Linked DNA regions of Canis lupus familiaris. The protein of the gene in region 4 interacts with the protein of the main gene of each other region in a pairwise test. Links are inferred from orthologs where the notes say so. Each region holds a gene or a part of one and is shown on either strand. Other genes may lie near its edges. The genes, in order: MRPL11, TLE5, SH2D4A, FSD2, FAM107A, LENG1 and PPP1R18.

What was found.
Region 1: the proteins of FSD2 (region 4) and MRPL11 interact in binary tests that used the Homo sapiens proteins (3 or more experiments, as listed by UniProt). The two-hybrid records come from large-scale screens. The link is inferred for Canis lupus familiaris from reciprocal best matches to the Homo sapiens genes FSD2 and MRPL11.
Region 2: the proteins of FSD2 (region 4) and TLE5 interact in binary tests that used the Homo sapiens proteins (3 or more experiments, as listed by UniProt). The two-hybrid records come from large-scale screens. The link is inferred for Canis lupus familiaris from reciprocal best matches to the Homo sapiens genes FSD2 and TLE5.
Region 3: the proteins of FSD2 (region 4) and SH2D4A interact in binary tests that used the Homo sapiens proteins (3 or more experiments, as listed by UniProt). The two-hybrid records come from large-scale screens. The link is inferred for Canis lupus familiaris from reciprocal best matches to the Homo sapiens genes FSD2 and SH2D4A.
Region 5: the proteins of FSD2 (region 4) and FAM107A interact in binary tests that used the Homo sapiens proteins (3 or more experiments, as listed by UniProt). The two-hybrid records come from large-scale screens. The link is inferred for Canis lupus familiaris from reciprocal best matches to the Homo sapiens genes FSD2 and FAM107A.
Region 6: the proteins of FSD2 (region 4) and LENG1 interact in binary tests that used the Homo sapiens proteins (3 or more experiments, as listed by UniProt). The two-hybrid records come from large-scale screens. The link is inferred for Canis lupus familiaris from reciprocal best matches to the Homo sapiens genes FSD2 and LENG1.
Region 7: the proteins of FSD2 (region 4) and PPP1R18 interact in binary tests that used the Homo sapiens proteins (3 or more experiments, as listed by UniProt). The two-hybrid records come from large-scale screens. The link is inferred for Canis lupus familiaris from reciprocal best matches to the Homo sapiens genes FSD2 and PPP1R18.

The regions. Positions count from the first base shown.
Region 1 is NC_049239.1:51,392,327-51,396,425, reverse strand, and holds the start of MRPL11 (39S ribosomal protein L11, mitochondrial), read right to left. Parts: upstream 2,801-4,099; 5' UTR 2,703-2,800; coding exon 2,580-2,702; intron 2,194-2,579; coding exon 2,098-2,193; intron 1,542-2,097; coding exon 1,448-1,541; intron 1,362-1,447; coding exon 1,202-1,361; intron 1-1,201.
Region 2 is NC_049241.1:56,586,156-56,590,445, forward strand, and holds the start of TLE5 (TLE family member 5), read left to right. Parts: upstream 1-1,490; 5' UTR 1,491-1,584; coding exon 1,585-1,611; intron 1,612-2,349; exon of another isoform or gene 2,350-2,445; intron 2,446-2,646; coding exon 2,647-2,744; intron 2,745-4,290. UniProt on the Homo sapiens protein: Transcriptional corepressor. Acts as a dominant repressor towards other family members. Inhibits NF-kappa-B-regulated gene expression. May be required for the initiation and maintenance of the differentiated state.
Region 3 is NC_049237.1:22,874,103-22,878,224, reverse strand, and holds the start of SH2D4A (SH2 domain-containing protein 4A), read right to left. Parts: upstream 2,801-4,122; 5' UTR 2,473-2,800; intron 2,463-2,472; exon of another isoform or gene 2,309-2,462; intron 2,168-2,308; coding exon of another isoform or gene 1,461-2,167; intron 1-1,460. Other genes in the region: collagen alpha-2(I) chain-like, read left to right, coding at 1,461-2,167. UniProt on the Homo sapiens protein: Inhibits estrogen-induced cell proliferation by competing with PLCG for binding to ESR1, blocking the effect of estrogen on PLCG and repressing estrogen-induced proliferation. May play a role in T-cell development and function.
Region 4 is NC_049224.1:55,070,732-55,075,028, reverse strand, and holds the end of FSD2 (fibronectin type III and SPRY domain-containing protein 2), read left to right. Parts: intron 1-1,763; coding exon 1,764-2,016; 3' UTR 2,017-3,338; coding exon of another isoform or gene 3,339-3,374; 3' UTR 3,375-3,797; downstream 3,798-4,297.
Region 5 is NC_049241.1:32,298,376-32,302,483, forward strand, and holds the start of FAM107A (actin-associated protein FAM107A), read left to right. Parts: upstream 1-1,308; 5' UTR 1,309-1,645; coding exon 1,646-1,669; intron 1,670-4,108. UniProt on the Homo sapiens protein: Stress-inducible actin-binding protein that plays a role in synaptic and cognitive functions by modulating actin filamentous (F-actin) dynamics. Mediates polymerization of globular actin to F-actin. Also binds to, stabilizes and bundles F-actin.
Region 6 is NC_049222.1:103,811,567-103,815,763, reverse strand, and holds the start of LENG1 (leukocyte receptor cluster member 1), read right to left. Parts: upstream 2,801-4,197; 5' UTR 2,741-2,800; coding exon 2,609-2,740; intron 1,712-2,608; coding exon 1,532-1,711; intron 907-1,531; coding exon 644-906; intron 26-643; coding exon 1-25. Other genes in the region: TMC4 (transmembrane channel-like protein 4), read right to left, coding at 3,244-3,321, 3,426-3,504, 3,800-3,955, 4,065-4,195.
Region 7 is NC_049233.1:625,434-629,466, reverse strand, and holds the start of PPP1R18 (phostensin), read left to right. Parts: upstream 1-1,233; 5' UTR 1,234-1,367; intron 1,368-2,157; 5' UTR 2,158-2,190; coding exon 2,191-3,801; intron 3,802-4,033. Other genes in the region: NRM (nurim), read left to right, coding at 461-492.

The DNA.
Region 1 (4,099 bases), on a different chromosome or scaffold from region 4:
TGCCCCTTCCTCTGTGCCCCCAAACACTTTGTACAAAGAAGTCGTCAGGCTATACACATGTGCCTCCCCCCAAGCAAGGGTCAGATCGACTCACTTCTGTACTTCTAGTCAAAGTGAAGATTTGAGAAAGTCAGGTCTATCCTTGTACCACGTTTAATCCCACTTCTCTTAGGAAACAAATGTTAGCCTCAGCATGAGATGTAACATCAGCAGCAAGAGGCCCATAAAGGGCCAAGCCCCGCCCTTGCTGTTGTCTGAGCCCTCAGATGATGTATGCTCTCCCATCCAACATCTCACTTCAGAGAAATAATTCCTGAGGTCATCCCAAACCCTAGGAGGGGGCTTCCTGTTGGCCTCAGGATCAAATATGAACTTCAGATAGATGGAAACAGCCTTCAGCCTTCCCAACTGGTCCATTTGTCTCACCTCTCTTCCTATTCCCCACTCTGCTTCTAGCACCATACGCCAGAGCACACTGCATTTATTTGCTTCACTTTTTCACCTCCTGTCCTTCACAGGGATCTTCCCACTTCTTGGAATGCTTGTCCCAGTCCTTGACCTCCTTTTCCAAGTCTGTGCAGATGTCACCTCCTCTGTGAAGTCCTCATTGACACACCAGGCAAAATTAGGAGCTCTACTCTTTCCTCAAGAACCTGCAGTTCCTTTTGTCAACAATGACCATCTAGCAGCCTAATGCTCCACTTACACATCTGCCTCCAGCTCTCAACTGTGAACTCCCTAGGAGTGGGGCCAAGCATGGCTATCTCATTGTTCCTCGCTGTATCTTTTTTTTTTTAAGATTTTATTTATTTATTCATGAAAGACAAAGAGAGAGAGAGAGAGAGAGAGAGAGAGGCAGAGACACAGGCAGAGGGAGAAGCAGGTTCCATGCAGGGAGCCTGATGTGGGACTTGATACCGGGACTCCAGGATCACGCCCTGGGCCAAAGGCAGATGCTAAACCACTGAGCCACCCAGTGATTTCTTCCTCGCTGTATCTAACGTCCAGAAAAATGTCTGACACATAACAGGTACTTAATATTCATATTCCAAATGGATGAATAAGGCTGCCCACTCCCAAGAATCTAAGGTCCTTGACTCAGAAGCTGGTCCTCCCACTGTAATGGGCCCTCCTGGCTTTGCTCCAGAGTCAAGAACTTTCCAAGCCCTCCCCTCACATTGCACCTTCCCAAGACACTCACTCCTTCACCACACGAATGCCCAGGGAACGGGCAGAGCCAATGATGGAGCGAACCACAGAGGACAGGGGCACATCCTGCAGGGCGAAGGCCTCATCCTGAGCTTTAACTTGGGCGATCTCATACACATGCTTCAAGGTCACCAGGCCAGCCACCTCCTTCCCTGGGAGGAAGAAACAAGTAGACCTTGAGGTATCTCGGCTTCCTTCCAGAGCCCCCAAAATCCCGGGTACCCACCCTGACCCTTACCTGTTTGCCGGGCCCCCTTCTCAATCCCAGCAGCTGCTTTCAGGAAGTAGGAAACAGTGGGTTGTCCGATCTTGATTTCAAATGTCCTATCAGGCTTCATGGGGAAGAAAATACAGGAGAATATCTCTCTTATCTCCTCTAGGCCCTGCTGCCCCAGCCCAGAGAACTTTTAACTTCTGTTCCCCCTTCCCTTGACTCATCTTCCACTGGCGTCCATTTAACAGATCATGAAAACACGGGGAAAATAAATCTGCAGCTAACAGCTTTGTCACCTCTAGTCCAGGCTCAGCTCTGCTGTAGAAGCCCGAGTGAGATGGACAGGCAAAGGGAGGAAATGCAATATGGCAGGAAAGGCTCAGAAAAGATATGGTCTAGTCTCCACTGTGTAAATGGGGAAAGTGGGACTCGGTGATAGGAAGAGCCTCACCCAAAATTAAAAGCAGAGTAGCAACCCCAGTAACCAAGGGGAAGAAAAACAAATAGGATCATTAGGTGACGGGGATTAAGGAGTGCAATGAGCACCGCGTGTTGCATGGAACCGGTGAATCACTATATCATACACTCAAAGTTAATATAACACTGTATACCGGCTAACTGGAATAAAAATAAAAACTTAAAAGCCAAACAGGATCAAAGTCCCGACTGTGCACCTTCACAAAAATCTTGGTGGGCAAAGGAATGCCTTCTTTGATGTCCTTTGTCTTCTCGTTGAACTCCTTGCAGAACTGGTTGATGGAAACACCTCTCTGGGTGGGAAGCACGGACATTAGTGTGGGGACAAGGGGGCGGCTTCCTACCATACGGGAGATTCTATCCCTTTCCTCCTTCGTCTTCATCTCTTAAAGGTCCCATCCTCCTCTTATTAACCCAGATTCAACTAACACTTTACGCGCCAGAGGATCTGTATGCATCGTCCCTCTATCCTCCCAAGGGGCCGCTGACCAAGGACGGAGGAAGCTTAGCCTCGAACAGGCCACGGAATGAACGCAAAGACCAAAAGCGTGTGGGCAGCAAAGCCGCGCTTTGACCTTACCTTACCAAGCCGAGCCCGCACCCTCCACCCGCTCCGGGTCCCAGTACTAGGTCCCACCCCCACCACGCCTCCCGCTCCGGGTTCCAGCCGCGGGACCACCTGACCCAGGATGGGACCTAGAGGAGGCCCGGTCATGGCCTGGCCTGCCCGCACGATGGTCCGGATCACGCCGCCGGCCTCGGGCTTCCTGAGGGCCCGAGCGGCTCGGTTCAGCTTCGACATGACGCGGGGTTGCGGCCTCAGTTCAGCTCAGGATTACAGCAAAAGCGACGGCCACGGGCGCCGCCATCCTGAGTCAGAGGTCAAGGGTCCTCACGTTAGGTTTGGTCATATGACGCCAACAAAAAGCAGCGTTGTTTCGGCCTTTCTATTCTCCAACTAGTACGCCAAAGAGAGTAATATGAAGGATAAAAAAAACTTTTACCTCACGATCTGAAGATAAGGGAAGGCCTGAATGGTTCAGATACATGCATTCCTCCTGCAGAGCACATAGGCAGTACCTCGGACAGCTAAACTGGAGGAGGAGGAGGCCCTTAATGTTCGCACAGCATTGTGGGCATGGTAGTTTTGACCGCTTACGCAAATCTCGCACGTTGCTATGCTCTGGGGGGCCATCTGCTGGATGTGATTATAATCCTGGGGTTTGAAGGGAATTTAGAGCTCCTTCTCGGGCGTGAGCATCTCTAACTTTCCCAGCCTGTTTCGTCACCTGTTGTTGAAAGGCACTATGATTAAGAGTATAGACCCGGGAAGTAAGTACCCGGTTGTTCCTCTTGCTGGCTGTGAACTTGTTCAAATTACTTATGTTCACTTTCCTCCCCTGTACAAAGATTATAATATGTAGACATAGCTCTAGGGACTGTTGTGAAGATTGAGTTAGCAGTGTGTTAGGACAATGCCCGGCATCTAGTAAGCATGTGCTATTAACTGTACAACGAAGACAAAACCTTCACAGAGCTGTTGTGAGACTTATAAAAATAAGCCAGCATCTTATTATGCCTTTTTTTTTTTTTTTTTTTTTGAGCACTTGCTATATCCAGGCATGGTGCCGAGTGCTTTAAGGGCATTATTATCTCATTTAGTCCTCACAATGGCATGAGGTAAATTCTTTTATTTTACCTTTTTGACAAACGAGAATGCTGACGCACAAAAAGGAGGTCAAAAACAACTACCCTGTGTTGACAAGGCTGGGAAACCAATATTGGTATTACCGGATTCTAGACCTTGTGCCATGTACCATGACTCTACATTGCCTCATCTAGTAAAAGGAGATAATCTGTGCTAAACCACACTGTAAACTGTCATATTTTTATTATGATTTTTTTGGACTTCCACTAATTAAATGTGATTATTCCTGCCTCTGAAGTTTCTCAAGTTCTTTATAATGCTCTATCTCATTAGCCTTAGCCAGGGTCTGGAATCAAGCTGGCTCCTGATTCACTAGTTGTAAAACATTGGGCAAAATAATTAAGTTTCCTGTGCTTTGGTTTACTCACTAGCAAAACGGGGCTAGCAATAGTACTAACCTCCCAGGAAATGAGTTAATTCAGGTAAAGCACCTTGAAGAGAGCCCAGCTAGATATGATTTATCTCTGAGTGCCCCCACACTGCCCAGCCTT
Region 2 (4,290 bases), on a different chromosome or scaffold from region 4:
CCAGGCATTAGTTCACCAACTTCTTTGGGGCCTGTTATCCACATGGCAGCAAGAGTGATCCTATCAGAATCCCAGTTGGCCGGGCCTTTGGTGGGGGGGTCGCGGCCTCCTGCCTCGAGAGCCTCCCTTGGAGTAAAACCCCCCACCGCCCCCAAGGCCCTGCACCATCTGTCATGCCGCCGGCCCCGCTACAGAATTCACATGGCCCAGTGCAGAACAAAATTGTGGGACCCCGGGGCAGCCCCTGTGGCGCAGCGGTTTAGCGCCGCCTGCAGCCCGGGGTGTGATCTTAGAGTCCCGGGATGGAGTCCGACGATGTCGGGCTCCCTGCATGGAGCCTGCTTCTCCCTCTGCCTGTGACTCTGCCTCTCTCTCTCTCTCTCTCTCTCTGAATAAATAAAAAATAAAATCTTAAAAACAAAAATTGTGGGACCCCTTGTTGGAAAACTATTAGGAATTTCCAGACCAGCGCAGCAGGCCATGAACCCGCACAGGCCCTTCAGAGCGCAGGCCTCCAGTGGGAACCAAGGTGTGAAGCTGCTGGCCCTGCCTCCCTGCGCCGTCCCCAGTGCTAGGCTGGGCCTGCCTCAGGGCCCTTGCACTTGCTACTCCTGCCTCCCCCCACCCCCCCTCCAGGGCTGTCTCTCACTTTCAGGTCCTCTGCGGTTGAGGAGGCCTCTCTGACCTTCCTCTGTTTCAAATCGCACTTTCCGGGCCCTCCCCGCTGGCTCATTTGCCCCCTAGCTGGGGGTTCGGTCTGTCTCCTGCCATCTCCACCAGGCCGGGATTTTGCACACACGCGCGCGCACACACACGCGCGCGCGCGCACACCCCGCCCCCACCCCCAGGTCCCGAGCGGGCCCGCACACAGTAGGCGCGGTGCGCGGGTGGGGGCGGCGGGGTCAGCGCGGCCTCCCCGCAGAGCAGCCGGCCCGCGGGCCAAGGTTACGGAGCGCGTCCCTGGCACGCGTCCAGGTCGCGCCATGACGGAGCCGGCGGTGTAGACGGGGGCGGCGGGCCCTCCTCGCCGCGCGGGGACACCGAGGCCCGCGGCCGGCCGCCCCCCGCCGGGAGGGGCCGCGGCGGGGCGGGGCGGGGCGCGCCGAGCCCAAGGTCACCGCGCCGGCCGGCGGGAGGCGGGCTGGGTGGGGATCCGCAGGCCTCCCCGGGCGCGCGCCCCCCTCGGCGGCGCGCACGGGGCCCGGGAAGCAGCAGCGGCGGCGGCGGCGGCGGCAGCAGGTGGAGCCGGAGCCTCCGCGAGCCGAGGCCGCGGCCAGTGCCGGCGCCGCCGCCATTAGACAATAGGAGCGGCGGCCGGGCGTGCGGGGAGGCGGGCGGCGGGGAGGGGCGGGGAGGGGCGCCGGGCGCGCAGGAAGCGGGGCCCGGGGCGCGCCGGGGCCGGGCGCGCGGGGAGGGGGCGCAGGAAGCGGGCGAGGCCGGGCGCGGGAGGCGGCGGCGGCGGCCCCGGGAGCTGCCGATCGGCGCCGGGACAAAGGCGCGGCCGCCCGGCGCCCCGAGCCGCCCGAGCCGCCCGAGCCGGGGCGCACAACCGGGGCGCAGCCCGCGCCCCCCGCCGCGACTGACATGATGTTTCCACAAAGCAGGCATTCGGTAAGCGGGGCCCGACGGCCCGGCGCCCCCCCCCACCCCGGTCGGGGCCCCGCATCCCCGCGCCCGCGCCCCCCCAGGTCCCCTGCCGGCCGCCCCCCCCCAGGTCGGGCCCCGCGCGCCTCCCCAGGTCGGCGCCTGGCACCCGGGGTCCCGGCCTGGCCGTCGCCCTCCCCGCTCCCGGCCGGGCCGCCCCCCCATCCCCAGCTCCCTGCTCGGCGCCTCCCCCGACTCCGGCGCGGGGCCCAGCGCGGCTCCCCCGCCCCCACCGCCCGGGCTCCCCGGCCCCCGCAGGTCCCGGCCGCTCCCCCCGCCCGGCCCGGATCCCCCCTAGTTCCCAGGCCCGGTCCCCTCCGGCTCCCGGCCCGGATTCCTCCTCCCCCCGGCCCCCGGGGCAGGCCCCCCCCCCCCCGCGCCCCAGCCAGGCCGGGCCTCGGGCGGCCTTGGCCTCGGGCCTGGGGCACCCCGGGAGCCCCGCCGGGCCCCGCGAGCTCCGGGGCTGGTCTGGAGGCCTGGGATGAGGGGGGATCCGAGGCGCACCCCTCCCGGAAGAACGCGGCCGGGCAGGAGGGTGCTGGGAATCTGGGGCGGACGCCCCCCCGGGTGATTTCGGGCGCCGGGAGAGGCCCCCTCCCCAAGGGGACTTTTCGGGGAGGCCGGGCACCCCCACCAACTTGGGGAGGGGGCCTCCAGGACGCCGGCCCCCCTCCCGCAGAGGCGGTTGGGGCCCTCGGATTGCACCTCCCTCCGGCGCTTCCGAGGGGCGGTAGAGGGCGCGCGCCGCCCCCCGCCGAGGGCGGACCTGCTAACGCACCCCCACAGCCTGGGGGTGGCGGGGAGCGCGGCGGCCCCGGGCGCACCCACCCCTTCGCCTTCCCCCGGGAGAGGCGGGGGCAGGAAGCGAGGGCGGGGGCCGCGCCAGGGGCTGTAAACACGGGCCCGGGAAGTGGGGCGGGGGGGGGGGGGCGCTGCAGCTGCGCCTGCCCCGGGGGTCACCCCGCCCCGCGGGGCCCTGACCCGGCCGCCCCCTCCCCGCAGGGCTCCTCTCACCTACCCCAACAACTCAAATTCACCACCTCGGACTCCTGCGACCGCATCAAAGACGAGTTTCAGCTGCTGCAGGCTCAGTACCACAGGTGAGCTGGGGGCCAGAGGCCCTGGCGGTTGGGGGGGGAGGCCCCCCAGGCCTGGGGGGGGTTACTGCTTTATACACCTATTTGAAGAAATGGAGGCCGAGAGCGTCCTGGTACGGGGTAGGCCCTGTCCTGAGCACTTTCCGGATATTAAACTCGTAGACTTCAAGACAACCCATTTCACTGGTAAGAAGCCTGAGGCACAGAAAGTTAAATTATTTGTCCAGACACTGGGGCTGTGTGGCTTCAGAGGGCCTCTCCCCACCCCCACCCCAATCCCCCCGCGTGGATAAAAGACCTCCCAAGGAGCCTGGTGGAGGATGGACCCCCCACCCCGGAAAGAAAACATTCCGCAGCCTGTCCTGTCTCTTCTCTGCTTAGTTTTGGGGAATGAGTTCCCGGCTCCCAACAAGACTCTCCAAGGAGGCTCTTCCCCCAGAATTTAACGTTCTGGCGCCGTAAAGGGCTTGCGCAGTGCAGCATGGAGGGGTTGGACCGGTGCTGTCTTTGTCTCATGCTTTAAGAACGTCAAGCCCAGAGAGGGCAGAGATTTCCTGAGGATGCACAGCACTGAGACCAGGCCGAGATGTGCCCGTAATCTCTGGGTTGGGGAACGCAGATTCTCAAGGCTGTTGGGGGGCGGGGGGCTTTGCCTGGGAATCGGGCCGGAGTCCTCGGTCACGGTCGCAGACCCCAGCGGCTCTCTAGGCCTGTTGGCCTGCGCAGACAGGTTCCAAGACAGATTCTGGGTTTTAAGAAAGAAAAACAGCGAGATCCAGATCTGTAGATAGATTTTTAAAAAAAATCTCACCTTTCAAGGCGACTTTCCTCACTCCCCATGTGCTAGATGCTGAACCGATGTCCTCTTGTAGCATTTCCCCGCTGTGGGCCTCTTAACTGTGCCCATTTCTCAGACAAGGAAACTGAGGCACTGGCAGTTGAAGGCAGGCCCCAGGAACTTTGTTTGTGGTCCCTGATGTGAAGCATTTAGGGCCTGGGCTGGGCAGGCCTGGGTTCTCGGAGCCCCTCCAGAGCGCCCCCACTTCGTAGTGAGCCCTGGGGCCTGACAACCCCAGAGCCGGGGGTCAGAGGGCCGTCACAGGGCTGTGTGTCCTCAGCTAAACCCGACACCCTCTCTGAACCTTGGGGTCTGCACCCGGTGGACCTGGGTTTCTCTCTGGACTGTGAGGGGTCCTCCCATGGGGTGGGTACACACAGGAGTTGCCAGACCCTCAAACAGGGCCAGAAATTCAGAGTTTGGCGTGAAATTGCCTGATTGTTTTTTTTTCCCCCCAATGGTATCCACAAATAGCGTTTTTTAAGGAAAGGGGGAGAAAAAACACGTGGGGCCCATAGCCACATGCACAGTGGCAGACCCGTCGTAAGCACTTTGGTGAAGCGAAGATGCCAGGCCCCTGGGATGACTGACCAGAAGGTCAAGCATGTATCAGGTGCTTCCTGTATACCAGGCGCTGTTCTAGAAGCTTCTCTGGTCTTCATCCACTTCCTTTTCTCAGCACCCCCACCCTGGGAGGTCAGTCCCTACAGA
Region 3 (4,122 bases), on a different chromosome or scaffold from region 4:
CACAGAACACCTAGCAAGGACCCCAGCATGAGCTTCTGAAGAGCTGTGTGCCCTTCAGCTGTCATTTCACTACTTTGTTTTCCCATTCGTGAAATGAGGAACTGCACCATACATCTTTGTAATGTGAAGACTATGTCATAGTCTATGTGAAGTTACAGACACAAGTGGAGGTAGGGTAGAGGAAACAGGAATGAGGAAACTAACCAGGGTTTTTCCCACTTTCAGTCCCTGAAAGGACAACCACTGACACTGATTCAAACTTTGAATGACTTTCCTCATCTAACACACTTGAGAGCAGCAAACTTCCAGTTATTCAAGATCCAATAAAAAGAAAAGCTAAGCTAACTCAGTTTTCTTCTCATATAGCACTTTACTTAAAAAAGGAAATGACAAGCAACAAGCCCAAATCTGCTATTTATTCCAAAACTAAATTTCTAAAGGGTGATAGGATCAGTTGTTTTCCAGGATAACATACATTTGGCCTGACTCTCACATCATCCATAGCCCTGTTCGACAAAATAAAAATTGTGTTTCTCATGATTCTAAGACCTTGGGGGGGGGGGGCAGGTAGATAAAGCCTAAATTATAGCAGTAATGTAATATGGACAGTAAAACTTTAATGGTAAGAATATAATTTAGAGCACCTGTGTGGTTCAGTCAGTTAAACATCCCATTCTTGGTTTGGCTCAAGTCAGGATCTCAGGGTAGTGGGATTGAGTCCTGCCTTTGGCTTGGCACTGACCATGGAGTCTGTCCCTGTCCCCCCTTTCCTCCCCCTACTGCCTCTCTCGCTCTCAAATAAATAAATAAATAATAAATAAATACAATCTTTTAAGAAAATGAATATAGTTTGAATATAGTTTGAATTGTACTTCTTTTAAAATGGCTGGCTATTTTCAGATTTTCATTTATCTTATTCAACTTCACTTAATAGAGTTTATCTGCAAAAGGGCTATTTTTTTTCTAAAGATTTTATTTGTTTATTCATGAGAGACAGAGACAGAGAGAGAGACACGTAGGCAGAGGGAGAAGCAGGCTTCCTGTGGGGAGCCGGATGAGGGACTCATTGGGGATCAGGACCTAAGTCCAAGGCCGACTCAACCACTGAGCCACCCAGGTGCCCCAAAAGGGCTATTTTTGAGGATAAAATGATTTACCAGAGGTGATAGCAATTTGGTAAGTTTTGTACATATGTGCCATTCTTCAGAAATGTGAAACGACTGTACAGATTTATCTAGGAAATTGCACTCATGGGCCAAATCTACGCCTGCATAGGACTTCCACGTGTTTATTCACTTTCTAAAGCTCCAAGTCGTTAGTATTCCGTCCGCAATCCGAAGCCTCTCAGGCGGGGGCCTGGCTGGCTCTGCGGGTAGGGCATGCGCAATCTTGATTTCCCTGTTCTGAGTTCAGGCGGGTGCTCGTGTTTACTTAAACAAACAAACAAAAAACCCTTTTAGGAGGTGAGGAGACTAAGATTAGAGAGAGGTGCCCTTGCTCCTGCGCCCTGCGCCCTGGGAAGGGAACGATACCGTTAAGGAAGCCTATAAACTGGCACCTGCGCGCGCGGCTCTCGGTGCCCCCGCGAACCCGAGGGCCAGAGCGGGCAGGGGCGGGCAGGGCGCCCACCCGACTGGGAGGACCGAGGCTGGGCTGCCGTCCTGCGGGCGGGCCCCGGGGAGCCGGCTGCCCCGCGGTCCCGGAAGGTCTGGGCGGCGGAGTTCCGCGCGGGCGCGGGCGCGGGCGCTCGTCGGCGGGGGCGGGAGCGCGGTGCCGGGCCGCGGAGGAGGCCCGGACCCACGGCAGGCACAGGCCCCGCGGGTGCTCCGGCGCTCCCGGCTCGCCCACCCCCGCCGGCCGCCTGGGCTTGGTGACGCGCCCGCGCCCCTCCCGGTGCCCCAGAAGTGCTCGCCTTCCCCCTGGGGCCGGCGCCTCCCGCGCCCCCACCCGCACGGTCCCGCGTTCTGCCCCCTGGCCCCGCCGCCCCCCGCACCTACCGGGCGGGGCCCGCGCTCCCCAGCAGGTGGCCCCGGGCCACGCGGCGTCCAGCGGGGCCGAGACGGAGGGAAGGCGGCTCAAACCCTCGGCCTCGCTTGTGCAAACAGTGTCCCTGCGCGCCCGCCCGCCCGCGCTGCCCCACCCGCGGCCCGCGTGCCCCAGCGGCTGACTGGGTGCTCGCGGCCCCACCCGGGCCCCTGGACGCGCTCCAGGCCCAGGCGTCGGCGCGGCCTGCTGCCCCAGGGGACCCCCCAGCCCGGGCACCCGGCCCCGAGCTGCCGCGTGTGGGGGCCAGGCCGCCGCCCCCCACCTGCAGCCCGCCGAGGCCGCCGCGCCCTCTCGGCCGCGGGACGCAGTGGTGTCAGCGGCCCGGGCCTGCTCCGCCGCGGGGCTCAAGGGCTCCTGCAAGCCCGGGCCTGCGGAGGCGGGAGGCCTCGGTCACACGGACAGCCCCAGCAGGCCGAGTCAGCTCACCTCCCGGGTCGCCTCCCGACTCCCGGAGCTTACTCTACCCGCCCCGCCCCCGTTTGTTGACATTAAAGTCATTTATCAGACACTCGGGCACTTGTCAGCACAGGCCACAAAGCTTTGTAGGGCAGAATCAAGGAGGCGAAAGGCTGGAAAGATGCAGGCTGCAAACAACAGACACGGAGGGAAAAATGAAAGAACTCTGGAGAAAGGAAAGAAGGTAAAGGAATCTTGTGAATAGCAGCAAGAACAGGTTGGGGTGGTGCCGGAAGGGAGGAGCTGACGGAGTACAGGAAAGTTGGGCAGAAGCGAGTAGAAACGTTGCAGGGCGTTTTCCATTGTGCAGGAGCGTTGGGAATGTGCGCGGAGAAATAGCCTGCTCTGGGGAACCCCACCCTGCGCATGGTGGGGAGGAGTCAAGAACACTGAGCCTTCTCTAGTCCTCTCCACAGCCCACCTGATACATTCAGGGGTCTGATTGGCTTCCTTCAAAAGTGAAACTTTCTTCTTCCTAACTTCTCTAGACCTCAGAAGTTACTCAAAGTTAGAAAGAGCCTTGGGGGCAGAGAGAAGTCCTTGAGAACCTATTTAGGAACCATTCTAGGGATCGCATCAGGGGAGAATTTCTGGTTTACTTTTGGTTCCCACTGCTTATTAAATGAATGGCCTGTGACTGCATTTGGCTGGATTGTCTCTTGCCCCTGGGTAGCGGCTGTGGCCAGCTGAAAATGAATCCTCCCATTTCATGGATCCAGCAGTTGAAGAACTAACAGGTGGTTCATCAGTCAGTAAAATTTTCCTACAACGGACACTGGTTGCAGCGGATGACCTTCCCCGACGCTCAAGTTCATGTGCTGATAAGTCTTTCTTTATAAGAGTACTCCCACTTGGCCACTAACCTGTCTGTACTTCGGTTTTCCCTTCTGGATAATAACAACGCCTACCTCATGAAGTTGTTGTGAAGGTTAAATGAGATGATATATGTAATGTGCTTAGAATAGTTCGTGGACTGGTGAATGTACAAATACATTAGCTTATACTATTTCACATCACATACTGCAGTTTCAAGTTATAACTTCATACTCAGACCTTGGATTTTGCCTTGTGTGGTACCTAGACTCCATGTTAACCTCAGTGATCCATCCCCACCTCCTCAGTATGTCACTTCTGAGATTAGGTTGTAAAAGACGTGAGCACATGCCTGGCTGGGCATCCAGCACTGGTCTTTGAGGCACGACTGTGAGAACACCAGCCTCAAATTTGTAGTGCACTTTCTGGCCCACCAGCAGCCTGGGTGACTGCTAAGTGTTCTCCATGCAAGCAGTGGGCAGAGCCGCTAACCCTGTGAACAAGATGGGAGATGCTGAAGCAGGCAAGAAGATCTTTATTTAAAAATGTGGGGGCACCTGGGTGGCTCAGTCGGTTAAATGTGCGCCTTCCACTCAGTGGTGATCAGGGTTCTGGGATCCAGCCACACATGGAGCTCCCTGCTCAGTGAGGAGTCTGCTTCTCTCTCTCTCTCTGCCTGCCGCTCCCTCTGCTTGTGCTCTCTCTCTCAAATAAATAAATAAAATCTTCTTTTTTTTTTTTTTTTTTAAATGTACTCAGTGCCACACAGTGGAAAAAAGTGGAAAACACAAGACTGGTCCAAATCCC
Region 4 (4,297 bases):
TTCGGATTAAAATAGCTAAAATTCACGGAGAGCTTGTTCTGTGCCAAGCACTGTTCCACACTCTTAAATGTGTACTAGCCCATTTACTTCTATTATCCCATTAAAAAAAAAAAAAGCTATGCCTCATAACAGTCATGTCATCTATCCAATGTTTTCAGAGCTTAAAATCAAATCCAGGCAGTCTGGCTCCAAGGACAGCATTCTTAACCACTAAGTAATTGGTTTTTCATGTTGAACTTATGTTATTAAACGGATAGTTTGATCTGAAGCCCCAATTCCATCTTTGTAAGTGGGCAGAGGCTTAAAATAGTTATGGCTCATTCCAGTTTGCTTCTGCTGCTAAGCACTCTGTCCTCTATGCATGGACTAGTTCCAAAAAGAGGCCCCCAGTGGGGTGGACATTGTCAGACTTAGAAAGCCATCGTTGCAACCTCCCTTCACCTCAAAAATTGTAAAACCTATTTTCCTAGTACCTCTTCTACCACGGGGCCTCTGACCCTCGTTGGCTTGCTGAATCCTATTAACATTTGATCCGATGTTCTCTGCTCATGAGCCTCCATCATGGTTAAACACTATCTGTCATGCCCACACGTATGTGGGAAGACCAGCTTGCCCCCTGTAAGATATCTGGATTAGAATGGACTTTACTGAGCCTCAGACCCAGTTTGAGGAATACAAATACCAGGCACTGAGCCAAATGGTTTATTTGGATCCTGCCTGAAATAAGACTAAAAATCAAAGTGTCCTCTCCTATAAAAGGAAAAATGAATGGCAGAGGAAAACAAGAGAGAGAATAAAGGAAGAGTAGGGGTCTGTGTATAGTGGAAAGGGTGGGAAGTCAGAGGACAGAAGAGGATGGGAACATGAGATGGCATGAAAAAGGACAAGAGCCGAGCACTGGAGCCAGAGCAATTTCTTGCAGTCCCATCTTCGAAAGACACATGAGAGAGGGACCGAGTTACAAGTGGAGGGTGAGGGCTGGGTATCTTAGCTGATTCGTATTTCTTGCTTTAGTCTTGACTCTACTGTGGTGGGAGGAGGTAGAGGGAAGAGTGGCTTCTTAGTTAAGGAAAGGAGCAGCAGAGGGGAAGATGAGGTGACTCGTGCTGGAGACAGGCTGGCTTGGCCTGATGCACTGAAGGCTATTCCAAGTGCTCCTCCCAGGCATGTGGACCAGCGTGCTGCTGCTGAGCTCTGCAAATGTCTGCACATAGCAGGGGTAGGAAGTTCCTGTGGCTGGTTTCAGTTCAGGCCATTCTTCAAAGCACAAAGGACACAGAGCCTGGCGAGAGGGTACTGCAGTGAATGGAGACGGCCCCCAGGGGGCCCTGCTAAGGCTGAAGGTTTGAGAATGGTGCCTTAGTGAGTGCTTGCTTGTGCACAGATTCTACCAAGAGGCTCATTTTATTCCATGAAAGATCATGAGGCTGCCTGTTTCAAATGTCTTTATTACAAAGGTTTTATACATCTGAACCTTAAAAATCTAAATTTCCAAAACACCTATATCTATACAAATTTTTATGTAGTAAGAATTTATGTTACTGTACCTAAGTATTTTAGGTTAACAGATTGCTTGAAAACAAATGGAGTTAAAAAATAAAAGTCTCTTAGGACAAATTTTAGAAAAGATAATTTTGGAAAGGGTAATCAGTTAAAAAAATAACATAAGCATAGGAGTATATGAATAAAATTAATATGAAATGTTCTGCAAATAATCCAGACAGAATTTCTGAAACTTTGTTGTATCAACATTTAATTTTCAGGCATAAGTATGAGTTCCTGCATAACAAGATGACTCCAGACATAAGAATAACGGTGTCCCCCAGGAAGATTGGCATTCTGTTAGACTATGAAAATTCAAAATTGTCATTTTTCAATGCGGACATTTCTCAGCATCTATACACATTCAGCTGTCAGTTCTACTGCTTTGTGCATCCGTGTTTTTCTTTGGAAAAGCCTGGGTGTCTGAAGATACATAATGGCATTGCAATGCCAAAGCATGTTGCTTTCTATTAGACCATTTTGATCCCCGACTTCCGTACCTACCCCTCTCAGCCACTCACCCCTCGACTGGTTGGACTTGGCATTCAGGCACCATGCACCAAGCACAACTTATGGCTCACATTCTCACCTGGCAGACTAGTGCACTGACACTTATCTCACCTGACCTGGATTCCAGTCCTGTGCACTGCCGCCTGTGTGAGATAGGCTGGTCATTACTAGGCCCGGCTGTAAAACGAGAGCTCAGCCAACATGAACCCAGAGGTCTTTCAAGTTGTCATATTGTACACATCTATTGTTTATATGCAAAGTTACCTGAATCTCCAAGGCCTTCAGAGCTCGGGATGAGGGGCAGTGGAAAGGAAGGGAAAAGATGCATAAGTGTTAATGGCTGCAGCACATCTGTAACATGTCACTAGCACCAGTAACAGACTTGAGGAGGCAGGGAGCTGTCCCCAACCAGAACCAGGGAAGCCATGGACCAGCACCACCTAACCAGATGTGCCTTCCCCTCTCCTATCTTCCCGGCAGTTAACGGCACTGCAATGAGCACTCTGAACACCCCGTTCCGAGGACTTACCCCACTTAAACTTTGAAATGACCTCTACCAGGCCCAATTCCATGAAGGCAGGCAGTGTTTTATTCATCATTCAACCCCTAATGGCTAACATGTCACAAACAGGTACACACCACATATAGACTAAATTAGTATCTTCTTCATCCAACCACTGCTCTGCCTATTGATATTAACAGCAGCTCAGATACTTGAATTAACAAGTCACCTTGATGATCTCACAGCTCCTTATGTGTACACACACGACTGCCCTGCCAAGCTGGATCACTACCCAGAAATAAGGAAAGTATAGCCAATGAAGCACAGAGATAGTTCAAGTTATAGACACATGTGTGTATTCAAAACTGTTCTCAGCTACCAACATAGAAACTGCCAGGTAGGAAGTAGGATATCATAGGCAAGCCTGAATTCAGGATTCTAACAGGCTTTATGGAATATTTCACATGTAATACGAACATGAATAAAATGATAAAAACTTAACACCTATAAGGTTTAAGTGACATTTTTATTTGACCAAGAAAAAAATAATCTAGAATTGCCACTGACCATTAACATTTAAGATCCACTTAAGGCAGATGACCAGCTTAAAGCATCACAATTATTCTGCATAAAGAACTTTTGATTAAACATGTTTCTTCTACAAGAAGAAAAAAAAACAAGTCTAGAACAGAACCAAACAAAACGTTTTCTGTAAAATATTCCAATTCCTAAAATACCATGAATAATCTACTGAAATTAAATTTCAACAAGGGGCAGGATTTACCTCAAGGCCATGTTCACCAGCAACCTGCCGATAAATCTGTTAAAAGACAAAACAAAAAAAACTATTTTTAAAAGTCAGATCATTATAGCTGCAATCCCTGGCTCTGCAGTTAAAACATGTCAATCTGTTCTTACCTGTATCACTTTATAACCCTTGAGCAAGTTATTAACATAAGCTTAGGCTTCCCTCAATAAAGGGGAACAAGAATATGGAGAATAACCACAGAATCCTAGTGTAAACTAACATGGGCTTAGTAATTCAGAATAGTCAGATTTTAAGACACCTGGTGAAGGGACTGGAAAGTTGGTTTGGAGACTTGAGATATAAGATGACATTGGTTCCTGGTAAAATTAAATTGCCTTTTTTGGAAAAGTGTATGTTTAATAGTTGACTTCCTGCTGGTTCAGACAATGATATGCAATCACTTGTACACATCCAATAAAATATTTCAGAAGCACATGCTTGGTGATCAGTATAAAGCAGAGAGATTACATGGGTACCAAGGCCTTTTCTTTAAGACTTCTCATCCTCCAGTATTTGTCAGAATCCTAACTCACATGGCTCACACGCTGGCAGTTGCTCTGGAGCACAGTTCACTGTGACACAGCATTCTGTAAACGGGACTGTGCTGGTCTCTGTCCAAGGAGGCTCATCTAACCAGAAAACCCTCTGAAGGCTGCGCTCCAGGAGAGGACCTGTCCTCCACTTCTTGAACAACTTCTCCAATTTCCAGTCACCTTCCCACCAGTACAATGAGAGTCTCATGGGTTCACTACCTTCTCCCACCCTTTCCAATCTCTTAATTTACTGTTCCTATTTTCCAATGCAAAGTATGTAATTGCTGTTGGTAGATTAAGTAGGTCTTGAATTTATTTTGCTAACAAGACCTGTTCTATCTACCTTTTCCTTTAGGAGGCTAATAGCAGAGTTGGCTTGACTTCAAGGACTCTGTTTTCTTA
Region 5 (4,108 bases), on a different chromosome or scaffold from region 4:
GATAAAAAGGAAAGAATTGCACGAGATTTAAAAATGTAGTCAAGGGAGAGAGATGGAAAACCTTCCCAGCAGAGAGAACAGCATGTGCAAAGGTGCTGGGGTGAGGAGGAGGGTGGTATGATCCAGGAATTGTCAGGCAGAGAGGGGAATGGGAAATGAGGTCTGAGAGGCCAGCAAGACTTCATGGAACAGAACTGTGTTGGACCATGGGGAATTTGATTCTATGGGCAAAGGTGGATCTAGAATACTTGATCCTGACCCTTCACTACCAACTGCCATTTCATAATCCTTTGTACAATAAGTCCTCACCACCCCGGAGCCAGGCATTGTGCTAGACAGAGGAAAGACAGGGCTGCAAGTTTTCCCTGGCCCAGCCATCTCTTAAGAAAGGCTGTTCTGCTTAATCAAACTGGTTACCTGGGACTTGCCAATGGGCAGTGGTTTTATCACGAGTGGCATTAACAGCATTATAACAAGCAGCACCTAACTTCTCTGGAAAATTCCTATTCTCCAAATCCTCTGCCCAGAGCTTTACACAAGTCACCTCATTTCATCCTCAGGGCCCCATGGGGTCAGGGGCCATCGTTACCCCTCTTCCGTCAAGGGGGAGAGTGTAAAACAGAGAATAACATCATCTGATTTATGCTTTAAGAGAACAATGGCTCTGGCTGTGCACACCGACTTCTTTCAGCCATCAGAGCAACCCTGTGCTGTGTGATTATAGGAGCACACACACGAAGAAACGGAGGCTCCCAGAGGTCAAATCATGCCCCCCACCCCCACCCCCACCCCCTGGGTCATACAACAGTGAGGAAAGAGTTGGGTTTCAAGCCCAGGCTGGTTCGGGCCTTAACCTCCTCGCTCCATGCTGTTGATAATAATGAAGGAGGGTAGCAAGTAAGGAGGAGGGTAACTGCTGGGGGAACTTTGAGAACTTGGCCCAGGGCCCGGAATCCAGCCTCCAGATAGTCTCCTGGCCTAAGCCCAGACCAGCCCTCCCCAGCTGGGCTACTGTCCTGTTGAATGAAGTACTCTGCTCTCAGTGTCTCCGCTCCACGAGAGCCCTTGCCCCCAAGTGTCTTCAAAGATCTACTATTAATGGGGCTGCTGCCCAGCCCGAGGTTTACATCCCCACACAAGCCAAGCCTGCCCTGAGCCCCATACCCCAGCTAGTCCACACAGCCTCCACTGTCTGGGGCCTGTCTGCTGATCGGTGCCCAGCCTGGCAAGAAGGCCAAGTCCTGCCTGCTGGGCCAGCCAGAGGTCACCCGCTGTACTCAAGCTGCCGGCCGCATGGTGAGAGGACGGCTTTGCTTCTCACCTCCCCACGGATGCCTCAGTCTCCCCTCCTGAGAGAGGCAGGGGTGCAGGAAGTGAGGAGCTACAGGGACCACAGGACGTGTGGGCCCTCTGGGGACACCATACCCCTCTGACAGGATCAATCACCCTAAGCCTGTCTGAGGAGCTCTGGGCTTAGGAGCAGCTGTGAAAGCCTCCTTTGTGCCTGAGAAGAATGAGCCACGAGAGGACGGGGGACCCTGGCCCAGGGAACCCCTTGGGCCCCAGCTCCTGAGATCAGCATCGGCAGGGAGGACCCCAGCCGGGCCCCCCAAGGCCCACCCAGGCCTGGTGCCCGCTTTGTGCCATGGGAGCAGTCCATGGGAAGAAGGTAAGAGCCCCCGAGGGTCCTGCTGGGTCCCTGAACATGGGGAGGGAGACTGCACCTACCGGGTGGGAGCCCCCATCTACCTACCTGCCAGCTCCATGGGCCTGAGCCAGGCACTGCCCACCAGCCTCCCTCCCTGAGCTCACAGCCAAGATTTGCATCTAGAAACCTAGCTGGGGCTTAGGACAAAGCCTTCGGATCTCTCCACCCCTGGAACAGACCTGGACTGCCCAACCTCACAGGCTCTCTGGTCTTAGACACACACCTCTCTACTTCCCTGCATACAGGCTCCGTGGCCGCACCTTCCCCGTGTGCCAGGGAGCACCGGTGGGCAAGTTACTGACGCTTCCTGTAAGTCATTTCCCCATCTGTAAAATGGGGACAATAGTCACTACCTCAGAGGCTTATAGTGAGAATTAACTGAACAAAAATATATGTAAAGTGTTTCAAACAGTGCCTGGCACATAGTGAGCTATATATAAGCTATGTTCTGTTATTAGAGTTCTCTTCACATTTTTATGCATCACCTTCTATGTCTGGGCTCTCAGTTGGAGATTTGTAGACAGAGCCTATGCAGTGTTTCTGAAAATGTGGTCTATAGAGACCCTGTGTCTGCATTAGAGATGGGGCATGGGAGGGGGCTTGCTCCACAGTCTCCTTCTTAGGGCTCACCCACACTTCCTGGATCAGGGGAAGGGGAGGCAGGGCTCCCCAGGGATTCTTATACACGCACTCAGTCCACATCACCAGGACTGTGACCCCAGCGGTAAGGTCAGGCTGCCTGGGCCCTAGCTCCTCCACCTGCCTTATAAGGAACTGAACCCCCCTGGATCTCTGGATCTCAGCTCCTCACCTGTAAAGTAGGGCTGGTCCTCACCCCTTGGGAGGGGCCACGAGAGGATGCTATAAAGTATGTAGCATGCAGCCTGTCACCCAGACAACCCTAATAAACGGGGGCTCTAACCCTCAAACAACTATGGTTCTGCATGACTCTAAATTTTCTGCCAACCGAGCCCAACCCACATTTTTCAAATTTAAAGTAAAACACATCATTGGCAGTCCCCATGGAACAAGCTTTCTGGGCCTCAGTTTCCTCATCTGGAAAATGAGCATTGGGTTAGATAACCCCTGGGGCCGCCTTGCACCAGCCTCTGCTCCCAACCTCCTTTGTTTCGGGTGCAAGTCAGGCCTGGAAACTCCTGCCTCCCCTCAGCACCCCCAGCAGCAGTATCCTAGAAGGTTGTTGTCCTGGGGCTGTCCCTTCTCCATCCCGCCATGCTCATGGGAGCCCCCAGTTGCTGTTGTGGGTCACCTGCTGTTCTTGTGTCTTCTCTGATACAGCCCAGAGCTGCCTTCCCAGCAGAGCTTTGCACCCTGGCCCCACCCAGCCCCCTTCAGGAACATTCTTCCAGCTTCTCCCCTCTCCCAAGGGAGAATGAGCTCAGCCTCTAGATCCTACCTGTGCAGGTGCAGTCACCTTGGAGAACGGCTTCTTCCCAGGCCTGGAAAAGACCCCGACAAGGTCTAGCCTAGGAACAGCAATTACAGCTCACAGACTGCCTCTCTCTCTCCTCTCACCGGTGACAAACTTCACGAATCGGTCCCTACACCCTTTCCCACGAAGTCCAGATGACCTCAGAATCTTCCTCAGCACAGCATCCCGATCAGAACTAGCCCCCAGACTGAAAAGCAGGCATGTGCTGGGCCCAGGCCCTCCTCCTGCCCCCAGGGAGAGGCTGCCCCCCAGGGAGAGGCCGCAGAGGGTGAATGGGAACACGGGCTCTGAGGTCAGACACACCTGAGTCAGTTCTTCCAAATACCCGGGGACCGTGGACAAGACAGGACCTCAGGTTCCAACCCCATAGACTAAAGATAATAATCCTTCTCACACTGTTGTAAAATCTAAATGACACCATGCCTGGGGATGAAGTAGATCCTTAGTCAACGTTCGTCTCCCTCTGGGTTTGATCCTCTCCTACCTGCGTCCTTGTCAGCTCTTCACACCCTCCCTTTGATCCACCAGGGGCATTAACATCACACCCATGGCAGATGAAGAAGCTGAGTCATGAGCCAATGTGACTTCCCACAGCCAGCCAGTGGCTGAGCCAGCCTGGAGCAGAGGCTATGAGCCGGCCCAGGCCAGGCCTGCTGTGGGGCTCCCCCGTCTGTGGACCACCCCCCAGCCCTCCCCCACACATGCCTCCTGCTCTGTTTCTGGAGGCAGTAACCCAGCTGGCCTCTGCAGGATGTCTGTGACACGCCTGGGCCGTTTGAGGTCTAGCACCCACTGGCCTGTGCTATAAAGGTCACGGAGCTGTCCTGGGGGGCTTCTCGGACCCCCTTCCCACACTCATGGCTTAACCATAGCTATAAAATCAGTTCTGGAAAACCCCTGGCAAAGTGGTCCAATCCCTTCCCCATTGTACAGCTGGGAAGACCGAG
Region 6 (4,197 bases), on a different chromosome or scaffold from region 4:
TCGAAGCTGGTCCAGGGATGGGGGTCTGGGGGGAGAACACTCAGGTCAGAAAGCTTATAGCCCCTAGAGGTCCCACTTTCCCCCAAGAAGGAGCTGCCCCACCTGGAACCCCGTCCACCTCTACCTGCTCTGGTCTGAGAGGTTTGTGGGTAGGAAGCTGGCCTCATGCTGTGCAAGGACCCAGGACTGCCATCACTGCCCCTGATGCCCCTCCAAATCATGAGCTATGATGATGAGCACAGCCAGGACCTCAGTTTCTCCTTCTGTAGGAGCTAGGAGACCTGCTCAGGTTTGTCCTCCTTGGGACACAAACCTGCTCTGACTGACCCCGTGGTTCTCAAACTAGACCCCAGAAAGCTTTGTGTCAGTGGGTTTCATCTATTGCTATTTTGCATAGAAGCGAGAAAACCTTGAAACAAGGTTACGTCCCCAGTCACCACAGTGTCTCTTCACGCCCTGTCTCTTTAGAAGCCACTGGACAATCAAGGCTGAGTGAAGGGTCACAGGGGCTCAGGAAAACCAGCTTGCCTCTGCAGACCCCCTGCTAGGGCGTTGGAGCCCCAAAGCCACACGTGGCGAGCCGCCTCCCCAGGCCCCCAGCCCCTCACCCTGACAGCACCAATGCAGCTGCCCACTTCCTTACACTTCAGGCCGCTGCTTCTCAGGCTTCTCCTTCCCCTTCCTGCCATGGCCACCATTGTCCCCACTGTGCCGTCTCTTCCTCCTCAAGTGCTTCTGTATCTCCTGTAGAGGGTCCAGGCGGTTCTTGATCTTTTCATCTGGACCTGGGCTGAGCTGGGGGGCCCCTTGCCGTGGGGGTAGCTGATACCAAGGCAGCTGAGTCTGGGCTTCTGCTGCACTCTGGCCCAGGTAGGTCAGGATGCCCAGAGCTTTCTCCTGCCTCTCCTGAGGGGGACAGAAAGAGGGAACTGAGGATGTCAGCGATGTCTCCACTCAGGGAGCCCTACCTGTGACAACAGAATCCCCCAGGCTCCTGGACAGGTAGAAGCAGCATGAGTCAACTCAGCCATTTTTCCAAGGACAGGTGGGCCTCCTGCACTGGGCAGAGTGTCAATTCAATAACAAAAAACACAAGGGGGAAGGACAGGGTGCAGCTGCTTTAGGGTTCAGAGGCAGCATCTTTGGGGAGATACTTTAAAGATGAACCTGAAAGCCCGCCAGCAAGGCAAAGGAGTGAGGCGAGACAAAGGCAAGTTCAGAGTTTGGTGGGAACCCCTGAAAGTGGGTAAGTGACAGGACCCAGGTTCTGATTTAGATGAAAAAGCTTCCTAATACACCTCCACAGGGTCTTGACATCAGCCCAAGGGGTCTGTACCTGACAGTGCCGTGCACCCACTTCCAAGCCCCTGCAGGGAGGGTGCCAATAACCCACACTGGGAGTGCTGTGTTCCAGTACTGAGTTCTCTGTGTCAGCTCATTTCATCCCCACCCTACCTCTCTGTTCCCATCAGTCACCCCAGACTTTACCCCTGACTGACAGGGACGGGTGTGGGGGGGGCGCGCAGCTTACTTTCTCCTGTCGCTTTTCTTCCTCATACTCTCTATTGCCTCTGGTCGCCCCTTTCCCTTCCTCCAGCAGCTCCCGAAATAGGTCCACAGGGCCAGAACTGGGGGCTCCCGCCTCTGCTGCTTGGAGCTCAGGTAGCGAGTGCTGGTGCCTGGCTTTCTTCCGTAGGAATTCTGTGCGGGCCTGGGGGAAAGAAAGTTACAGGCAGAGCATTCATTGCCTAGCCATGCCTCCAAGAACTGTGAGACCGGTGCCAAGCACAGAGAATCCCCGTGCTGGTGCTGAGGGCTCATCAGAGCATCACCCAGCCTGGGGGAGAGGATGGGAGAATGAGGTGACACCTGGGTTTGTACGCTGCCTTTGGTGAACCAGAAGGGTTTCCCAACCTCAGCTGGCACAATAAAAACAGCTAGGAAGGCAGCCCAAAATTTGCGAGCAGGCGACCAGAAATACAGTAAGGCTCCAGATCACTGTCCCTCGACCACGTGCAATCTGCTGACCAAAGTGAGCTTTAAAAGCCCAGACCACCTCCCGGCCAGCGGTGAGGGCCAGATTCGTTAACAAACTTCAAACTCCGTGCACACTAGAAGCTAGAAGTTACTCCGAGAACCCCCGGGGTTGGGGGCCGCGGGGAGAGGGCTGGCCCCACAGGGGGATGGGTACGTCCCACTTCTCTGCACAGCGGAGGGCAGTGCCCTCTGGGCACGAACAGAGCAGGTCCAGCGCTCTGCTCGGGGCGAGCATACAGCAGACGCTCCAGAGGGGTCGGGCAGGAACACTAAACGTGGGTCTGCGTTTCTTTGAACTGCACAGGATTCATTTTTTCAGCAGCCCCTACTCTAAGCCAGGCACACCCCGGCCTCACGCAAAACGAGTGGCGGAAACCAGGGCAAAGGGGAGGCCCAGGTGGGGAAGCCTCAGGTAGGGCCCGCGCAGGCGAGCCCCTGCGTTTCCAACCGCGCCCAGCTCCTCCAGCCTCACGGGAGGCACTGCGCGTGTGCGCCATCCCGCTTCCGGCCCCTCCCCCACGCGCCTGCGCGCTCGGCCCGGGAGTCGCGTCCGACCGCACTCGGGGCTTACCTCCTGCTGAGCGAGCAGCACCCTCCGCTCACGTTCTTTCTCCTCCTCTCGGGCCTGAGCCTCGTCACGCCGCACGCGGGCGACATTGTCCTTGTTCCGGACGTGCCAACTCTTCTTGGGCAAGATATTCATGGCGTCGTAGCCGTCCACCGACTGCAGGCCCACCTCTGAGCACTTTCTATTGGCGAGAGGATGCCGTTCCCTGTTGTTCCTGCCTCAGCTACGGATTGGCCCTGGGCTGGCTGCCACGCCCCTCCAAGTCCGTAGCGAGCGCTGATTGGCTGAGATGCCGAATTCGGGTTGGTGTAGCCTGGAGACCGCCTCTTCACCAGGTCCTGAGCCAATCACTTGTCCCCGCCCTGAAGCTACGGGACGCGGCCGCTGATTGGCTGGCCTTCTCGAGGCCGATAATCTGATTGGCCGGCTCAGGATGCAAGTTACAAACAAAGCGCTCTGCAGTCTCAGCGGCGTTTATTGGTACGAGAAAGGTTAACGCGAGAGTGAGGGGGTGTCAGGGCCCCGGAAATCTCCGCAGCCGGGGACTTAGGGTCTTCTCAAGTTCTCTTTTACAGATGAGGTGCGGGCTTCCATAGGGTCCGGGGGCAGGATGAAGTGGGCCATGGTCCCGAGCAGGGCTAGGGAGGTCGAAGAGCCCCGGTGGCCGAGCTCAGTGCCACAGCGCGCTGTGCCAGGAAGACCTTATTCTGCGCCTCCTGGGTAGAGGTAAAGGGTAAAGAGAAGTGCAGGTGAGGCCGACCGCTCCCCACCATTTCTTTCAACATCCAGGACCCCCTACCATGAACCCGCTTTGCCTCACCGTCTCTATCTGGCGTTTGAGCTCAGAGACCAGACGTCCATAGGAGTTAGCCAAGGCCAGGGTATATGCCATCAGGATGCTATAGGGACGGAAATGGAAGCCATACCCAGGGGGCTCTTAGCATATCTTCAGTGTAAAGGCTCCTTAGAAACCGGGGATCTGGACTCCCAGCCCCACCCCACCCCCGCCAGACCCCTCCTCCCTCAGACCCGGGAGTCCAGGCTCCTCCAACCTCAGACCCAAGAGTCCAGGCCCCCAGCCCCCTCCCTCCTCAGACCCAGGAGTCCTGGCCCCCAACCCCTCCTTTCTTAGAAACAGGCAGTAGGGGCCCCCAGGGAACACAAACTCAGACCCAGGATTCTGGGCTCCCTCACCTGGAGATTAAGAGAAGAGGCACAGCAAAAGCCTGGGTCCCCAGGAAAAAGAGAAAGTTCTGGACGGTCTGAGGGAGGTTGGAAATAGACTCAGGGATCTGGGCCCAGATAGACGACTGCCCTTGGAATGGACCACACAGCTTAGAAGGTGGGATCCTGAAGAAGTCAGAGACAGTGTTCAAGGATGGCCAAGATTCAGAATCCTGGATGAGGGTGGAAGGAAGGAGGGAAGGAGAAGGGAGAGGCAGGCCCCTGCCACACTTACAGGAAGATGCTGTAAAGCACGGGAACAGCGGAGATGGCCAGAGCCAGGAGAAGGACCAAGGGGAAAAAGAAGTTCGCTGTGGAAGCCCGAAAGGTGCGGGAGGCCGGGGAGCAGGTGGAGAAAAGGGTGAACT
Region 7 (4,033 bases), on a different chromosome or scaffold from region 4:
GTGAGGCCGAGTGAGGAGCTAACCTGGTCCCAAGCCCTTTAACATCTGGGCTCTGGCTGCTTCAGACCAGAGGCCCAAATCTATGGACTGAAGGGGCCATCCCTTCCCCTGTTTGAGCCTCCACTCCTTGGGCCCAGCTCCATACCCTAATCCTGAATTTCAACCACTGGACCCCAAGATCTACTTCTCACCAAACCACGGAGGAAGGGTGGGGAACTTCAGTATTTCCTCACAGTTTAGGCCTTGACCCACCTCCACCCCACCTTAAGAACAGTCCTTCTAAGGAAGAAGGGTGGGCCTGCCCACTTCCCTCCCACTGTTGCTCCCTTCTACACCTCAGGGATCCCCTTCTCCCCCTCAGGCTTCCCTTCCTAGGAGTAGGATCAGGGTCTGCAGGTTTGATGGTAATGCCAGCTCTGCTGACTCACCTAGCCCCTCCTTAGGCCTTGCCCCTCCTTAGGCGCTGGCCCTGGGCTCTGTCCTCTAACCTGAGAGGATCCTCCCGCCCTTCATGTTGGTGACTAAGAGATCTCTGCCCTCCCGAGGAACGTCTGCGGCGGAAAAATAAAATTCAGCCCGTTTTTTCTACATATGGCATGCAGTCCATCAGTGTGTCTCTAACTAGAGGGCTGACTTTGGAAGGAAGGCCAGCAGAGCCCAGGCACGCCGAAGTCGAGTCCGGACGGCCACCGCGCCCTCTGGCGACCGCTGGGCGGCGGCCCCTCGGGCACACCCCCGAGGCCCAGCCCCCTTCCTCCAAGTCCCCAGTTCCCCCGCCGTGGACCGGGACCCATGGGACGCGGGCTGAAGCTAAAGACTGGGCAGCGGCTGTCGTGGGGGCCAGTTACCAAAGCCGTGGGCTTCCGAGTACGTCTCCGGGTGGCCGCCCGGGACCCCGCAGTGACGCAGGCTGGCCGGGAGAGGCCACCGCCTGGGGAGGGGCGGGCCCGGCCGGGGCAGCGGCTGCTTCCTCTGCGAGTCCCTCGAGGGGCCTGAGTCGCGGCGGGCGCGGCGGGCGGGGCGGGCGGGGCGGGGGCCAGGGCCTGGACACCTGCGTTCTCCGGGGCTCGCGGCAGGAGGGCCGGGCCGGGCCGGGGCTCGGGCGCGAGAAGGGGAGCCGGGGAGGCGGGGCCCACGCGCGGGCTCGGGAGCCGGCCCCGCCCCGCCCCGCCCCGCCCCGCGCCGCCCCGCCCGCGCCCCCTTCCCTCCCCATTGTCCTCAGACAAAGCGGTCGCCGCCCCCCGCCCGGCCCCGGGTCGCGGTCACCCTCCCGCCTCCCCGCCCGCGTCTCCGGCTCTCCCTCGGTCCCACTCCTCCTCCCTCGGACGCCTGCTCCTCCGCACCCCTCCCGTGGGAGCCCCGCGCGTGTGAGTCGGCTGCGGGGCTGCGGCCTCGGGGCGGGGGTGTCTCGCGCCGCCCGCCCCGGCGCGGACCTCGGGCTCCTCCCGTCGAGCCGCGGTTGCCTGTCGGTGCGCCCCGAGCCGGGGGGACGGCGGGCTCCGCGGGGCCGCTGAGCCGGGAGCCGGGCCTGGCGGCAGAGCCGGGGCGCGGAGCCGGGGCGCGGCCCGGGCCGGGGGCTGCCGCAGGAGGGGCGGGGGCGGGCGCCGGGGTTCCGGGAGCCCCGGGGTGGGCGCACCCGCGCCCCGCGCCCCGCTGCCTCCCCGGACGCCGGCTCCTCCCGGCTCCCCGACGCCGCTCCAGTCCCGGCTCCCTCCCGGCGGGACTCCCGGACCCCTCCCCGCCCCCCCCGCCCCCCGCCTCTGGGGCGGCGGTGGGGAAACCCGGCCTGGTCCTCCTCCTCGCGCCGCCCCCGCCCCCGCTCCCCGGCCGCTCCGGGCTCTCGCCTCCCTCGTTACGACTCCTTTTCCGCCCTTCTCTCCGCTCACATCCTCGGGCCTCCCCGATACCATGAACCCCGCGCTGCCAATTCTGACTGCTGTCTCCTCGCCCTGAATCTCTATTCTTCCTCTCAGGGCCGCGACGCCACCTCCGCCGGGCCCACTGCTTTTTCACTTTCTGTTTCCCCGTTACTTTGCCCTCCATCTTCTCACTCTTCCCCTCCCGGGCCTGGGCCCATCTCGGTGTCCCTCCTCTGCCCCTCTGCTTCCCCTCCCCCTACCCCCAGGACCTCTGGAGCCTCTCTTTCCTGTTCTCTAGCCCAGCACTTCCCACCCCTACCTCCGCGCGACCATGGCTACCATCCCGGACTGGAAGCTACAGCTGCTGGCCCGACGGCGGCAGGAGGAGGCGGCCCTTCGTGGCCGGGAGAAGGCTGAGCGGGATCGTCTGTCCCAGATGCCAGCCTGGAAGCGGGGAATCCTGGAGCGCCGCCGGGCCAAGCTTGGTCTGTCTCCTGGAGAACCTAGCCCTGCCCCTGGGACTACAGAGGCTGGACCTCCAGACCCAGATGAGTCGGCTGTCCTCCTAGAAGCCATTGGGCCGGTGCACCAGAACCGATTCATTCGGCAGGAGCGCCAGCAGCAGCAGCAGCAGCAGCGCAATGAAGAGTTACTTGCAGAGAGAAGGCCTGGGCCTTTGGAGGCCCGGGAGAGGAGACCCAGTCCTGGGGAAATTCGAGATCAGAGCCCCAAGGGAAGAGACTCAAAAGAAGAGCGGCTCAGTCCCAGGGAGGCCAGAGAGAGGAAGTTGGGGATAGGGGGAGCCCGAGAGTTGAGCCCCAGAACTTCAGAGGCTTGGGACTGGAGGCAGAGCCCAGGAGAGTCTGGAGACAGGAGCTCTAGACTGTCAGAGGCACGGAAATGGAGGCTGAGCCCTGGAGAAACTCCAGAGTGGAGTCTGAGACTGGCAGAGCCTGCAGAACAAAGCCCCAGGAGAAAAGAGGTGGTGGAAAGTAGACTGAGCCCCGCAGAATCTGACAACCAGAAGTTGGAGCTGTCAGAGTCCCATAAATGGAGGCCCGACTCTGGAGAGTCTCAGGAACAGAGTTTGGTACAACGGGAGGCATCAGGGTGGAGGCCCAGCTCAGAAGAAGAAAGAAAAGACTGTTTGGAGGAATGTAGGAGAAAAGAAGAGAGACCAATTCCAACACTGGCCTCAGAAGAGATTACAAAGGTGTCAGAGACCCTGACAAGGGAGGCTCCAGAGAGCAGCTCTGGAGAGGTGGAGGCAGCAGAGCAAAGGCCCGGCCCTGTGGAGGATAGTGAGAGGGGCCTGAGGCTGACAGAAGGCTGGAAATGGACCCTGAACTCTGGAAAGGTTCGAGAACGGACACCCAGGGACACAGAGACTCAACCTCAGAAACCCCCAGAGGCTGCTGAGAAGTATCTGGGGCCTCTTGGTACAGAGGCTGGAGAAGGGGAGGCTGAGAAGGAGAAGGCAGGGGCTCTGAGCAGGCCTCTGAGAACCCTGCAGAACTGTAGCTCTGTGCCCTCCCCCTTCCCACCAGAGGACGCTGGGACTAAAGGCTCTACGAGGCAGGAAGAGGAAGCGGTGGATCTCCGGCCCCCACCAACAGCCCCTCTGTTTCCCCTACCCCCAGCCCCACCTGCTCCCCAGTCCCCTGGGGATCCCCTCATGAACCGTCTGTTCTATGGGGTGAAGGCAGGGCCAGGGGTGGGGACCCCTCGCCGCAGTGGACACACCTTCACAGTCAACCCCCGGCGGTCTGTGCCCCCAGCAGCCCCCAGCACTCCCGCCACCCCAGCCGCGGCTGATGTTGCAGTTCCTGGAGTTGGGAAGAAGCGGTACCCGACTGCGGAGGAGATCTTGGTTCTGGGGGGCTACCTCCGCCTCAGCCGCAGCTGCCTTGTCAAGGGGTCCCCCGAAAGGCACCACAAACAGGTAGGGAGCAGCCCTCAGACTTCTCAGAAGCCTCAGCTCTCTCTGGCCTCCTTTCTTTTTTATAGCCCTGTATTCTTGTCTTCCTCTATTCTTTCTTGTTAATTCCTGCCACTACCCTTCCTCCTCTATGCACACCCTTCCTTCTTGTTGTAGCCCTCATTTTCCATTCATTTCCAAGCCCAAGGGTTCTGTCCCAAATCAAGTGCTGTCCCTGGGTGTGTCTCCCAGGGTG